Linked DNA regions of Bombyx mori. The protein of the gene in region 1 purifies or fractionates together with the protein of each later gene. This does not show direct contact. Links are inferred from orthologs where the notes say so. Each region holds a gene or a part of one and is shown on either strand. Other genes may lie near its edges. The genes, in order: spastin and nucleoporin Nup43.

Region 1 (3,837 bases):
TGTTTGCTCGTTATTGGTAATTAAGAAAAGTCTATTAAAATGTATACTAAGTAAACAAACTTGATAAAAATTTAAAACACCAATAATGTAAAGCAAAAGGTCGCTAGTTACCCTAGCGCCATCTAGTGATCGCGAGATCAAAACGCAACAGTCACAAATGTAGCAGGTTCAAAGATTATAATAGGTAAAGCTGTCTCTAGTATAAAATTATCGTAGTACAAAAAAAGAACAATATCATACCTCAACTACCCTCAACTAAAAATTCAAAATCCCAAATCGCCATACTGCACGGACCACTTCTCGTACGCGACGAGGCTGTGCGGAGACACAGAAGGTCGGATCCTTTTCAGCGAATCTAGGAAATCTTGGAAGGTAATGCTCCGGACCAATGACAGGTCCAGACATTTGACTTCCTCGGGATCCAGCTCTGTAAAGAAACGAAGACTTTTGAAATGTCAGCAAAGATTGTACAGACAGTGGCATTTTCACTAAGGTCGTAAGACTTCACTTCACGATGATAACTGAATAAAGACAGAAGATGTATTTTTATCTCTTTCTTTTTATTTTATAAGCTAGCATTTAATAAAGATTTAAATTATTATAGACGACATGTTTATGAAAAACGCGAGATATCCGCAAAGATGAGATTTAGGAATTACTCAAATTTAGCTCTGTCTTTGCATAGAAAAAATACAGTAAAGTTTAGTTCACACTGAGTACAACTCTAAAATATTAAAGAAAGAATTTAAAATAAAATAAATAAATAAAACAAAACGATGTTAGTTCTCAAAGCTATAACGGGAAAAGTTACTTTATTTGTTGCCACATAAGGTTCACTTAACATTAAAGGTTGTTTAACATATGCCTTTTCGTTTGTAAGTGACAGGAGTAATTTATTGCTTTGTGACCTTCGATCAATAATAGTACTAGATTAAGGATCAGGAACAAAAATAAGACGCTCCAGTGGCCACGTTTGCAGACACGAAAACATCTTCATTTCTTAGAAAAAAGTTTAATAATGTTAACGACTTCAGTTTATTATAAACCTTAATACTTAAACATAAAGTTTAATTACCATTGCAAAATATATGTATTTAGGTCCTTTCGTCAGAAAAAGAATATTATGGAATAAATTTAAAATGTCACTTGAACATAAAAAGTCATCAGTACAAAATATTTATTCTAAAATGATACTTAAAGCCTAATTTATAAGGTTAAAAATATTTGTTTAAAATTTCGTGCTTATTGCATTGTGGAACTAGATGTAGTTCTTGGTATTACATTTCAATGCTCAGAACACAGTAAGTATTGAAAGACATAGAGTTGCAGAATATACATATTTGTTTTAGGTTTGTTTTGTATGGTCGCAACTATTTTTGACAGATTCAAAAAAGTAGTAGATAATATTTTACATTGCCGCTATTACAACAAATAGGTGATAAAAAATAAAATTGAATAAAGTAAAAAAAATAAGAAAGGAAACACGAAACATGTTTTCCACGTATTCTTTATACAGAAGTAATTAAAACAATAATGTAGGTTTAATTACCTTTAAACAGATTCAGTTTGTTATAAAGCTGTCTCTTAGAAGTCATTTTTATATGAGCGGTTTCTTTTTTACAAATATAATGTAATCTTATATCAATGAATTTTTCTATAATCAGTTTAATTTAGGCTTATTTTATGGCTGTGTTCGTTTCCCCCAGAAAACAAATCCTTTTCAGCATATACGCTTAAAATATTTACACATACATATAAAGTTTTTTTAATACTTTTTTGCATTGATTTGCCACCACCATTGAACAATTCTAGAATTTTTATAAGGGTTCTATATTTCTTCTCCTCTTTCTTTCGCGACAATATATATTCATTGTGCACAGCGACAAGGGGCTACTAGGAAATCTACAAACAAAAATAACATTATAAAATAACAAAACTACTCTATGCATTCCCTGTCCAAGAATAGGTGATGTTTGTTACAATAGTTGGTGCCTTGTTGCAAACATTGGCCAAACAATTACAATATTCGTAAATTGTGTTTTATTTACAATATAATTGTGTTTATTATTTTATGAAAAACACTTAATAATATAAATTTACCAAAAAAAGATATTCCTTCCAAAACCTTGGTGTTACGGTGGTTTTTTACTCAGTTTTTGAACGCGCATTGCAGCGTTTTGACGTCTTAGTGTTGGCTATGATTGGACCATACTAATTTGAAATAAGACCACAAATTTATTTGTGGTCTTATTTTTCGGGCCGTTTTTGAAGCGCTAATCGCGAATCTAGTAGTATTATTGATCGAAGTTTGTGACGAATGATCGTAAGTATTAGATAATGTTTTGAAGATTTGGAACTTTATTACTAGGTGGCATAGTTGTAATTAGTTTAAACTTAAAACTGTTTCAAAACTTTTTTCTCCGTTTGTTGTAAACCAACGTAGCTATGTATGTGTATATTCACGCGGACAGTTTTTGCTTCGATTTTGTACGTGTCCCTTTATCTAGTTACAATTGTTGATCGAAGACTTTAAAATACGAAACCAGAGCTATCTATTAACCCACAGACACAGCCGGATCTTCGCAGTGGGTCGCATTTCTGATCCGGTGGTAGATTATGTGAAGCACTGCTCTTGCTAGGGTTCGTGTTAGAAACGTCGTTAGGTTTGAACCTGTTCACCTACTAGTTAAGCTTACGATGAAGTGGTCTCTCAAGATCATCTGCTTAGGTAGGAAAAAGCTCTCGGTGAGTTTTTTTGTTTGTTTGCTGAGATGGGTGGACGAGCTCACAGCCCACCTTGTGTTAAGTGGTTACTGGAGTCCATAGACATTAATGCGCCACCCACCTTGAGATATAAGTTCTAAGGTCTCAGTATAGTTACAACGGCTGTACTGCTTCACGGCAGAAATAGGCAGGGTGGTGGTACCTACCCGTGCGGATTCTCAAGAGGTCCTACCACCAGTAAAAAAGAGTTCGTGTTATAGAGGTCACGTGTAGGTCGTGTTGGTGTGGGCGGGCGCGCACGCACCTCGTATGGGGCCGAGCGCGGCGTCCCTGCAGAGCGCGGTGAGGTCGCTGCCGGAGTAGCCGTCAGTGAGCGCGGCGAGGCGCACCAGCTCGTCGTCCGCGAGCTCGGTCTGCGCGGCGCCGCGGGCCAGCACGCCGCGCACCAGCGCCGCCCGCACCCGCGCGTCCGGCAGCGACACGTACACGCGCTTCGGGAACCGTCTGCAACAACAAATCCATAACACCCAGTTGAAAGACTATTCAAATCTTACAATGTTATATTACGCCACATTATAAGACTGCGTTCGAAATTCTGAATGTAATTTAGTACTCTTATACGTATTATATTATATAAACCTTTAAACGAGCAATTCTTGTATATATATATAATAATATAATCTGAATCTCGGAAACGGCTCCAACGATTTTCATAAAATTTAGTATACAGGAGATTTCGGGGGCGATAAATCGATCTAGCTACGATTTATTTTCAGAAAATGGTCATCGTCTAGTACTCTTAATTTGGATCAGGATTTTTCAAGAACACAAAGTAATTGCAAAATCAATTTTCATTTTATTATAAATACTGTTCAGCACAGCAATGTACCAATAATCACCAAATGGAAAAGTTTTTTATTATTTCATTTTTCTGTTCCAATACGTTAATTATTGATGTTGCAAATTTAAAGTAAAAAAAAAAACAGAGACCACAGTCGAGAGCTATGGGTTTAGGCTTTAACGAGTTCTGTAGGAGAATAGTTGAGAACACTATATCTATCCACATTATCATTGGATTGATTTATTAAAACTAAGTCATTATTATTTTTTACC
Region 2 (3,937 bases), on another chromosome or scaffold:
AGCTCACAGCCCACCTGATGTTAAGTGGTTACTGGAGCCCATAGACATCTACAACGTAAATGCGCCACCCATCTTGAGATAAAGTTATAAGGTCTCAAGTATAGTTACAACGGCTGCCCCACCCTTCAAACCAAAACGCATTACTGCTTCACGGCAGAAATAGGCAGGGTGGTGGTACCTACCCGTGCGGACTCACAAGAGGTCCTACCACCAGTAATTACGCAAATTATAATTTTGCGGGTTTGATTTTTATTACACGATGTTATTCCTTCACCGTGGAAGTCAATCGTGAACAATTGTTGAGTATGTATTTCATTAGAAAAATTGGTACCCGCCTGAGATTCGAACATCGGTGCATCGCCTCAACACTTATGCACCAGACGTCTTATCCATTAGGCCACGACGACTACAAATAACATACGACTACAAATAAATATGTAATAACATTTTATATGTAGATTTCAATTTTGTATGGGAATCAGGAATAAGATAAAAAGAATTTCTGAGTAGTCCATTCAGAGTTGATAAAAATATAAGCATGAAAAATTAAAAAAAAAATAACATTTTTTCTGTAATGAAAACTAATTTTATGATTTACTGTCTCGCATTTTTATTGTAAATTAAATTATTTTTATTAACCATACAAGTAATTTTTATACTTGTCTTTGAATCGCTATGTCTGTCTATGATGTGTGATGTCTATGACTGTGTGTATGTCTATGAACCGAAGAAAACATCATTTGATTTGGTCATTCTATATTTAAGAAAACTAAAACTTACTCTCTGTTAATCAAAAAGTTAGAGATTAAGGATTTACCTCTGTGTGTTTTAAATAACAAATGGAATGCAATGAACAGCTATCAGCCCCTTTGATTGTACGGTTGACTTCACCCCTTCGGCCACTCAATATGTTCACATTGCCATCCTCACCAATACTAGCTATGTCTCCTTCATATGTATCCAAAGATGTTGCAGAGCATTTTGTATTACTGAAATAAAGCATTTGTTACGAGTTAAGAATTAGTTATGTGTGCTATTTTCAAATAATTCAAACACTTATCAGTCATTTCCTTTTTTTTTAAAAGAACTGAATGTGTAGCAGTTTTCTAGAAAACGACATGATTGGCAGCTTCATAGGTAGGAATATTACAAAAAGTACACAATTATACATTTTTTTCTTTGGTGGTTACAATATCAGGTAATAAAACTTTGATGTTTCATTGTAACATTGGTGTAGATATTTTGTGGTATTTATTAAAATTCTTATATTAAAAAGGCATAAAATTCATCTTCAAAATTAGAAAAAAATGAACAGAAATTGTTATTGTTGATAAAATATTAGATATAAATTGTTGAAAACATTTTATAGTATGTTTACTCAAATAAAGTAATTTACATCTTAAGTTACTTGATGATAGAATTGGTAATTAATGATTTGCTGACTGGTAGAATGCATTGAGAGTGATATGGATAGCTGGCTCGATGTTTGGTGTGTGTGCCTATTGTTACCATGCTGTGCCAAAGCAGTTACAACATAACACCTGACTTCAGTATGCTCTGGTTTTCGTGAATTGTAGTTTTAACTGCTTTAACCTTTTAGTAGTTTAAAAAAAACTAGAACCTCACCCGTAGTTATGTAAAGACTTCCAAGAAAATATTTCTTTAAGTGGTGTTTGTTTATCATAAGCACTAATTTCAAGTATTTTTACATCACCATTAGATATTGAAACGGCTATTTTGTTTTTTTCCGTGAATTTTATTTGTGTAACATCATCATCTACTGGATACTTGGTAAGGGCACGAGGATATTCTACCTCTTCGTCTTCGTTAACACTTTCAAAAGTCCAAACTGTTATTAAGTTGACCTCATCATCCCAACTACCGGTGAGAAAACATTTTGTTTCAGCATAATCTTCAGGAATCCATCTGACTTTATTTATTTTTTGAGAAACAAACGTTCCTTGAATATCTATTGACATTTTTGTATACAAATGGGTCATAAAATGAACAAGAACACAACAGAAGATAAATAAACACACTTCCCTGTTTCTGGACTTTCTGATGCTTTTCTGTGCTGTAAAAATTTTTTTAAAAGGATTTTATGACCAGGTAACTAAGACCTTTAAGTCATGTTTTATTTTAATTTTAAGTATTATTTTCATGAAAAATGATAATATGGAGTGAAATGAAATGAAATGAAGATTATTAAACTGAGACATTAATCAACTGGGATGAAATTAAATTAAATGATATGAGATGATATGGGATGACATAAATCTCAGTAAAATGGTGGTCATTTACTGAGACTTTTAAGTGGACTTTTTTGAGGATCCCGAAAAGTTACGTCCAGCGGCTTTGTTTTATTTTCCCACATTTGTGCACTTTCACAGATATTAAACAGTTAATAAACCACCATTATTACACATTTAAACCTGAAGAAACACTAAATAGACAAAATAAAACAAATCATACAACTTCACTCCTCGCGTATATATTTATGTGTATACCCATAGACATTTAAACCTACCGTTCTATCATTCATTAGCGTTAACTTTTTTAATGCTTTTTTATTATTTCTCGAATATATTAAGTGTATAATCTATGATTTAAGTTATTTAGCCAATCAGAGTGCACTTGGATATCTTTATCTTTTAAAATCACAGATGTTGAAGATAACAAATTTTTGTGTTCCTGCTTTATTTAATGTGAATATCATAGCTGTAACTGTAAATCACTCTAGTACAATTAAATTCAAATTGAAATTTTCTATCCACCTTCACTTTTTATTCAGACTATCATTTTATAACCATGGATGACGAAGTTGTTTTGCTGCCAGCAAAAGCCGGTGAATTTATTGCTAGATATGCCAAGCATGTACAGATACATGAAGAAGGATTAGATAAAGCATGTAAAGAGGTAAACTTTATTTAATTTATATTGTAGTTCCAGTTTAATCTATTAAGGCTAATAGTATTAGAAAAGAAAAACAATAAACATGTTAATCTTTATTGCATACTGGTTTGAAGGGTGTAACAACCTTAGACTTTATGTTTCAAGGTATGTGACAACTTTTGCATTGTGACATCATAAGATGCAGTAACTAACATTTAACATCATGTGGGCTGTGAGTTCATCCTCAGACAAAGGGTAAAGGTAAAAAAAAATAGTCTTAGAACTTCAACTAATAAACATTAATTTACAGTTACTCACAATCAAATTATATTCATTGTTTATAGATACTCACGTCAATTTCTACAAGTAAACTGGAAATCCCTGATGCAGGAACAGGTATACATCCTAATGTTGAACACCCAAGGGCTGTGGACTGGGTGTTTGTTGCGGACACGTTAAACTTCTGTTTCTGGTCATACAGTGGAGTTCTGAAATGGACTGTTGGTGGACATTCTGGGTATTATGCTTTGGAGGCTGCCCTTGATAGAGCAATTAAGGTATTTATTATAATAATGTAAATTGAGTGCTCAGATATCATTATTGCACTGTTAGACCTTGTCAAAAGCACATTTAATTGACAATAATAACAACAGTATTCTTTATTATGTATAAAACAAGCATTATTTTTAAAGAATACTGAATTTAAGCTAAGGACAAAGAGCAGTTATAAAATGAAAGCTGATATGTATATTCACTCTGTTTCAGGAAGGTTATGATATAACAAACCCAGAATACTATTCGAAGATAACTACAGAACAACTAGAAATGATAATGAGAGGGGATAATGAAGCTAAAATACCATTGTTTACGGAAAGAATGTCTGTGCTACATGAAACTGGTGCGATTTTACTTGAAAAATACAATGGAACTTTTACGACTTGTTTGAAAGAAGCTAACAAGTCAGCCTTGAAACTACTTGAGATTATTGTGAACAACTTCCCTTCGTTCAGAGACGAGGCTGTCTACAAAGGGCAAAAATTAGGTA

Evidence for each region.
Region 2: the proteins of spastin (region 1) and nucleoporin Nup43 purify together in Homo sapiens (affinity purification with mass spectrometry; 3 studies listed by BioGRID and IntAct, counting the BioPlex papers as one, with this or other methods). This does not show direct contact. The link is inferred for Bombyx mori from reciprocal best matches to the Homo sapiens genes SPAST and NUP43.

Annotation. Positions count from the first base shown.
Region 1 is NC_085131.1:9,724,074-9,727,910, reverse strand, and holds part of spastin, read right to left. Parts: coding exon 3,837-3,837; intron 3,229-3,836; coding exon 3,029-3,228; intron 428-3,028; coding exon 264-427; 3' UTR 241-263; intron 1-240. UniProt on the Homo sapiens protein: ATP-dependent microtubule severing protein that specifically recognizes and cuts microtubules that are polyglutamylated.
Region 2 is NC_085111.1:1,602,094-1,606,030, reverse strand, and holds the start of nucleoporin Nup43, read right to left. Parts: upstream 2,490-3,937; 5' UTR 2,375-2,489; coding exon 2,302-2,374; intron 2,075-2,301; coding exon 1,627-2,074; intron 990-1,626; coding exon 818-989; intron 1-817. Other genes in the region: queuosine 5'-phosphate N-glycosylase/hydrolase, read left to right, coding at 2,809-2,916, 3,237-3,449, 3,658-3,937. UniProt on the Homo sapiens protein: Component of the Nup107-160 subcomplex of the nuclear pore complex (NPC). The Nup107-160 subcomplex is required for the assembly of a functional NPC.